2 linked regions of the Arabidopsis thaliana genome follow. The main gene of each other region encodes a partner of the protein of the gene in region 2 in a complex. Each region holds a gene or a part of one and is shown on either strand. Other genes may lie near its edges.

The links.
Region 1: the proteins of FTRA2 (region 2) and AT2G04700 are in contact, whole or in part, in a crystal structure (PDB 7C3F), measured with the Arabidopsis thaliana proteins. Residues at the interface, in NP_568195.1 of Arabidopsis thaliana: Leu116, Lys117, Val118, Tyr119, His120, Val140, Trp143, Lys146, Lys147, Ile148, Ser149, Ala150, Asn151, Leu152, Phe171, Thr172, His173, Leu174, Lys175, Glu178; in NP_001323778.1 of Arabidopsis thaliana: Arg88, His89, Tyr90, Asp92, Ala95, Glu96, Gly98, Gln99, Phe101, Trp102, Val107, Pro108, Arg110, Glu111, Arg112, Lys113.

What each region holds. Positions count from the first base shown.
Region 1 is NC_003071.7:1,645,141-1,649,589, forward strand, and holds AT2G04700 (ferredoxin thioredoxin reductase catalytic beta chain family protein), read left to right. Parts: upstream 1-1,666; 5' UTR 1,667-1,820; coding exon 1,821-1,920; intron 1,921-2,008; coding exon 2,009-2,121; intron 2,122-2,289; coding exon 2,290-2,339; intron 2,340-2,412; coding exon 2,413-2,484; intron 2,485-2,951; coding exon 2,952-3,012; intron 3,013-3,160; coding exon 3,161-3,205; 3' UTR 3,206-3,897; downstream 3,898-4,449. Other genes in the region: AT2G04690 (Pyridoxamine 5'-phosphate oxidase family protein), read left to right, coding at 215-250, 333-691, 774-895. UniProt on the Arabidopsis thaliana protein: Catalytic subunit of the ferredoxin-thioredoxin reductase (FTR), which catalyzes the two-electron reduction of thioredoxins by the electrons provided by reduced ferredoxin.
Region 2 is NC_003076.8:2,709,281-2,712,368, forward strand, and holds FTRA2 (ferredoxin/thioredoxin reductase subunit A (variable subunit) 2), read right to left. Parts: upstream 1,319-3,088; 5' UTR 1,309-1,318; coding exon 694-1,308; 3' UTR 530-693; downstream 1-529. Other genes in the region: AT5G08415 (Radical SAM superfamily protein), read right to left, coding at 1,703-1,780, 1,884-1,994, 2,117-2,288, 2,501-2,658, 2,776-2,866, 3,081-3,088. UniProt on the Arabidopsis thaliana protein: Variable subunit of the ferredoxin-thioredoxin reductase (FTR), which catalyzes the two-electron reduction of thioredoxins by the electrons provided by reduced ferredoxin.

The DNA of each region.
Region 1 (4,449 bases), on a different chromosome or scaffold from region 2:
AAATTGAAAGGTTTTTAGGATTTCAGATTTGACACTAGGAGTAACAAATGGTTCCTCTATACTCTGTAGTTACCACTGGTCACTCTATACACTATAGTTACCTGAGATCTTTATTAGTGAAAGAGATTGTTGCATTGTTGTTATCAGCAAGGTAATGTGAGTGTAACAGTTGTGTATTACTAATTCTTTTTGCGGTGTTGTATTCCTCTTCCAGCACACTATCCGTTGATCATAAAGGCGCTCCCTTCGGGTAATCTTGTTTTCCATGAATCATATCACAATGTGTTTTCTTGCTTTGACATTATTGAGATCTCAATGGTCTCTATTTGCAGGAATGTTGTATCGTTTAGTGATGGTTTACCCGAGAAAGGTAACGGTATACCTTACTTTTACTTAACAACACTTGATCCAACTGCAAGAAACGCACTTAAAGACCAGAGAGCTTCACTTGCAATTAGTGAATCTCCTCTTGGAACTTGTACAAGAGATCCAATGAATCCTACTTGCTCTAAACTAACCCTTACCGGGAAGGTAAAAGAGTTTTTTCTTATTGACACGACAAAGAAACTTACTGTAAAATGCTTTGGTCTTTATCTTATTATAATGTTTCAGTTGCTGATATTGGAAGGAGGATCTGAGGAAGCAGAAGTAGCCAAAAAGGCTTTATTCACAAAGCATCCAGAGATGATGGGTGATTAATTGTTTCACTCATCTCTTAAGATACAGATTCATGATAGATTTGTATTATCATGTGATGGTTTTATCATTTGCAGATTGGCCTAAGGATCATGATTTCCGCTTCTTTAAACTCGAGATCATCGATATATTTCTCATCAATTGGTATGGTGGAGCTAAACCTATCACTGTAGATGAATACCTTCATGCCAAGTCGTAAGTACATTGCGTGAACCCTTTTAAAAACATCGGTAATCTCTGAGAAACCGAACTATGAAAATTTTCGAATCGTATGCCTTTTTCGCATTTGATCTCTTAGTTCTTTTGAACTGTTTTCAGGATCAAACTCGCTTCCTTTTTATAATAACTCACAAGAATCAAGCAAATGGTGAAGCAAGAAAATGTATATTGGATGAACAATAAAAAGTGTGTAACTGTTTCTGTAAATAACTCTTTGTTTTGGACCATAATAGATATTAAAATCTCTTGTAAATTACCTCAAAGCAATTTCAAAGGTATCCAAAATACTTTTCAATTTATGCAATTGAACCAAAACAAATTCTTCCACGTGAACCGAAACGAAAATCGGTTTTGATTTCTCATTTAAACCGAATAAACCAATTTTTTTTATTCATTAGTCTAAAATTTAAATTCTATTATCTAAACATAATTGAACCGGAACTTTCATAAGAGAATTGAATCCAATACACTAAAACAAAATAAAACTAGAAATTTATGTAATTGAACCACGTTGGAGTCAAATTAAAACCAAATCAGAATTCTATTGCAATTGAACCAAACTAATTTCACCAACTCGAACCGAAACCAAAACTCGATTTTTTCATTCATAATTCTACTCAAATTCTTTATCTAAACCGAATTGAACCGAAAGTTTTGAAGCAAAGTTTGAACCGATTCGATGGTCGAATTCCGGTTATTTCCGGTTTGAGGATAAGCTTTATCATTCTCTGAGAGTCTCTCTCTCTGTGAGTGGCGAGCATTGGTTTCTGGAAAATGAACACAAAAAAATATCTGAAAATTTCGATCTAAAAAGCATAAACGAATCCAAATTTCAAGAGGAGAAGAAAAATCTTCAAGTCCACGACGAAACTTTTCATCGATCTTCAAATTCCAGAAAAAACTCGATGAATCTTCAAGCTGTTTCTTGTAGCTTCGGATTCCTTTCGAGTCCACTTGGTGTCACTCCCAGAACTTCGTTTCGTCGCTTCGTAATCCGAGCGAAAAGTAAACAATTTGAATCCCTAGATCTTTGTTTAAAGTGATTGTGATTTCGGTTTTGGATTCATCTTGAATCTTCTTCTTGTTTTTGCAGCGGAACCGTCGGAGAAATCAGTAGAGATTATGAGGAAATTCTCCGAGCAATATGCTCGTCGCTCTGGGACTTACTTCTGTGTTGATAAAGGAGTTACTTCAGTCGTTATTAAGGTACTCTTGATTTCAATCGGAGCTTATTGAAATTTCAGATGAACTTGTGTTGATATGAAGATTGTGATCAACTGCTTAACTATTGAAGTGGCTTGTGTCTTTCTACTTGTAGATTATGAGTTAGTGAATGTAAACATCTTGAGGTTTAATGCTTAACTTTGTGAGCAGGGTTTGGCTGAGCATAAAGATTCATATGGTGCACCGCTTTGCCCTTGCAGGTGATTTGCTTCTTCCGAGCAATCTTGAACTATCTATGTATTCGTAAAGTTTGATCCTTTGTTGTTGATGTAGACACTATGATGATAAAGCTGCTGAGGTTGGACAAGGCTTTTGGAATTGTCCGTGTGTTCCAATGAGAGAGAGGTAAGAACTATCTTCTTCATGTGGTTGCATAATAAGCATTGGGGTTGCTATATAGTTAGAACTAAGAATATAAAGTCCTTTGGGAAAAGCTGGTTATATAGATCGTCTCCAACGTCCTTGTTGTTATTAGTTGGATAGTATTCAGCAGCATACGTATGTTGTAGTTTCCATAGAGGTAGCCGATGCTCCGTATTGGTTGTATCAAGATTGATGCAGAGAATGTATTCACATATTGCTAGGCAAGTGGAAATTGAATTAACCATAGTTAGAAAACTCCTGTAAAACTCTTGGCCTATGTGGCTCTTTTGATCAAATTCTGATACACCGCAAATTTAAGATCCTTTGTGTTTTAATAGGACTTAGTTTAGGTAGTAGAGTTCGATCAATTTTGCATCTGTTGACGGTTTATTCTGATAATACTTGCTTGTTTACATCTTGTACTAAAGTATTTATCACTTGTTCATCAGGAAGGAGTGCCATTGTATGCTTTTCTTAACTCCTGATAATGATTTCGCTGGAAAAGATCAGGTAAATCTCAAATCAAAGCTTGAAGGTTCTGTCTCCATTTTAAGGATACCATTAATGGTTCGAAGCAACTTAGTAGTATTGGGAATTTGGGAACCTATAGTATATAGTATATGGATTTCTAATTCTTTCTCTTGTTTGAATCTTGCAGACGATTACATCGGATGAAATAAAAGAAACTACAGCTAACATGTGAGAGAGCTGGTTCTTCCATGTTCATCACCTCTGTTCTTTAGGTAAAAAAAAAGAGAGATATGTCTCGCCCCAAATGCAGTCTTGTACATTGATACCCCGAGCATCTTCTTCGTTCTTCTGTACAACTCTTTCACTCTTAAGATAATATTCTTTAGTATGATCTTTTGTTTGCAAAACGATTACAAGCTATATAAAAGGATCCAACTTTACACGAAATCTTCAATAAGTAAGCTTAAAAGATCTAAAGGTTTCTCTTTCACATCTCTCAAAGCCAAAGCTTCCATAACAGTATCAATCCACTTAAATCAGTAGTTTTCTCATAACGTATTTCATTTGCTTCTTCTTCTTCTTCGGATCTCAATCTCCAAGTTTTATGTTTTTTCAAGCAGTGATATGGTCTTTACAGTAACCATTCTTTGCAACCATTCTCTCGTGATGTTCAATGTTCTATGTCGCATTCGCATGTGCCAAGTATGAACGGCCTCTATACTTGCAAGTTGTGGATTTTGGGCAAGCCATGCGTGGATGTCAAAGTATTCTTCACATGAAGAGTCGATTATTGTTGTATTCCTCTCTAGTTATGCTGATCAGAAGAAACTTGGTTGTACAATAGTGCTTCGCTATTTATCTTCAATTTGAATGAATAAATTTCCATCATAACTATCGGTTTTGGGCTTTTAAGTTCAATTTAAGCCTTTTAGGGTTTGTAATTTTGTTGTTCTGTTGTCATTGTCAAGGATGTCTTAAATTGACGGAAGAAGTCTGGAAAGAGTTGTTTTTCGAAGGTTAACATTACATTAATTTTGGTCAAGGGATACGGTAGAGAAGATCCTCTCTAGGGTTCCGATGAAATCTCTAAGAGCAGTTTGATTTACATGCAAAAAGTGGAACACTTTATTCAAAGATTTGAGCTTTGTAAAGAAGCACGTTGGTCATGCAAAAGTACAGCAAAGAAAAAAGGAGTTTATCGTAATCATGATGATTGATTTTAGGGTTTATTTGACGCACATCAATCTAAACACCAACGTTGAATCGTGTATAAAGCATGAAGCTAAATTTACTAACCTAGACGATCAGATGAAGTAGATGTAGCTTAAGTCTTTCACTACGATGGTTTGTTGTTAAACATCACGAAAGACAATGCTAAGCTAGTGGTTTGGAACCCGTATTATGGACAAAACCGGTGGATCGAGGTCGAGCCTAGTTTTCACCGATCCGACTTGTATTTGTATGCTCTAGGATATG
Region 2 (3,088 bases):
ACTTGAGAAGAATTACCACAATACTACTGCCCACATCATATACTCATATTATTACTACAAAAAAGAGTTGCAGCAAAGGAACCATCCACATTGACACATAAACTAATTCCTCAACACTCTCTCATGCCATCATTACTTCTAACTCAAAGACTCTTCTACAAAGATCAGAGAATGCAATCCCACATTTGATTATACGAAACAAAGAGGATAAGAACCTAGAAAACAACTGATGTCATTCCTTTTAGTTTCTGGTTCTAACTACAAACAAAGATTCTCACTATAACAATCAACTGAAAACACTCTTTAGTTACATAAACCAATATCTTTACCACTTTCATGCTCACTACCATCTACTTCATAACCTCCAACGGATGATAGATTTTGAGGATAAGATCATTCAATGATGTTCATTTGAAGTGAACACATCAAATGCAAAATCAGTTTGATAGGCTTCTAAGCTAGTCAATGGATCAATAGACAGCTTTTAGTTTCTCCAACACAAGACGAACTATATACTCTGGGAAACCAAATCAGAAGCAAGAAAACAGCAATAAAGGATTCAAGAATGGGTGAAATCTTATGTATATAATAAGCTAAATGTATACAAAAGTACATACAAACAAACCATTCACAAAAGATTTTTCAAGTCTAATATCAGAAAGAGAAGAAAAGTTTTTGCCTTTTTCAATTCAATCACGGATCAATTAACTCGAACTCGTCTTCCTTAAGATGCGTGAAGAATTTGACAGGACCACGACCTTCGATCTCTTTCACGAACTGTACCTTAAACGGCAGATTAGCTGAGATTTTCTTTCCTTTCCAAAGAACGACGTAATCTTTGATAAAACCTTCCATTCCCATCAATTCAACCTCCGGTACACGAACCACATGGTAAACTTTCAACGGAACCGTAACCCTAACCCTAGCTCCAATCTTCTCCTTCGCTTTCTCGTCTTCCTCCGTCTCCAACGACGTAGATGACGATAGATCAGCGTCCGCGTCTACAGAAGCCGCCGATTTCACAGCAATATCGCAACGAATCGTCGATTTTGGATTCTTCCGCGAGATTGAGAAGGCGCATTTGCTTCGACCGTAGGAAGTAGATAATGAGATAGGTACGAAAATGGACGAAGATGAAGAGTTGATCGATTTGCGTCCACTAAGAGAAGCAGCAACTAGATAGTCTTGAGATGCCGGAGGACGAACGGCGGCGATAATCGCCGGTGACAGAGCGTAACTGTTAGTCATCTGCGTCCGAGCCGAAGAAAAAAATCTTAAGAAAGTGTGAGAGAAAACAAAAAAGATCATATCATTTAGCCCCTCATCTATTTATATTAGATGGTTAATTTAATCAAGGTGATTACTAATTTTGCTAATTATTTGGTTTAAATTAAAAGTCGGATTATTTTTGGATAAAGAAAGGCGACGCGTGTCAGACTTAAGACAATGTAAGAGATGAGGAACTTGTGGCTTCAGATAGAGAATCAACACTGTAAATATCTTGAGACAATTTCCAGATATTATTGGCAGGATTTTATAATAACACAAAACTAGTATATATAAACTTTTATATATCCACAATGGTTTCCAAATCAATTACCAAAATAAATGAAGTCTATTAAAAGAAACAAACAAAAAAGATAGGAAGAAGGCTTTGTGGTCTCAGCAATCATTTTTGGCATTATAGTAGCCATTGTTGTTATTAAGACAAGGATTTAGAGTAGCTTTCTTTCACCATTGTCTTAACAAAAAGCTCTCCTGCTCTATATGAAGATCTTACCTGCAAAAAGTATATATCCAATATCAAACAAGTACATTTCTGTATCTTCTATGTTCTCAGATATTTTTTGACATAAAGAGTAAGAAATAGTTTGTGGCTTTACCAGTGGACCACTTGCAACATAACGAAATCCTATTGATTCTCCGTATGTTTTCCAGAAATCAAACTTCTCAGGTGTGACATACTCTTTCACAGTCAGATGCAATGGAGTTGGCTTCATTGTGGAACAAGAGAAACGGTTTTAAATCGTAGATGTTCTTTGAAATTTGGGATCTTTCTATCTTGGAAATAGGAATATTGCGAATGATGTGGGGAATGTTGAAGTGATTAGTTTACCTGTAGATACTGGCCAAGTGTTAGAATATCAACATCTATAGCTCTTAGATCAGCCATTGCTTCCTTCAACTCTTCGTCTGTTTCTCCAAGACCAAGCATTATGGATGTCTTTGTGATCATTCCAGGTTTGCTGATCTTTGCATGTTTCAAAACTGACATGCTCTGCTCATATCTGCATTCTCCACATTATATCCACATTAAAATGGAGATTTACTACAACTAAAGATGCAGAACACCACCTATGTCTCACTTTAGGAGATATTTGACTGTGTAATATGAGATTGACATCCCGGAGCAGAGGATCAATTCACTGCTCAGCCCATCTATGCCATAACCAAATTTGCAGAACATATAAAAAAATGAAGAACAAGAAACAGCACTCACCCAGCCCTAGGATCCCTCACAAGTCGCTGGAGCCTTTTCACAGTCTCGACATTGTGAGCAAAAACATCCAATCCCGAGTGCACAAGAGTGTCGACAGCCTCCAAATCCCCACGAAAATCAGAAGTTAAGCATTCTATCATTATATCCGGCTTATGTCTCTACAGAGATGAGATATATATTTTCATTTTCATAAATACTCTGAAACAACATTCGAGAAATGCACAAAAAGGTATGCTTAAATAACATAATGCATAAACAAATAGAATATTAATAACCTTCATAGCTTTGACAGTCTGCGCAAAATGTCCACTTCCACCATCAGGTATATCGTCACGGTCTACGCTGGTAATAACTATGTAGTCTACACTGCAACAAAGGAAAATGCAAAATAGCATATCATGATACACCCATCATAAATTAACAAAGATGCAGTAGTGACTGTTGAGAGACACTATTTTTAATTTTCATCCCCTCTCCATTTATCCTATCTAGTTAAAAATTCTGAACACGACCATGAAGAGAATCTAAAGGACAATATAAGCAGATTACTCAGATCAGGAATCAAATAAAAGTTACATACCCCCAACT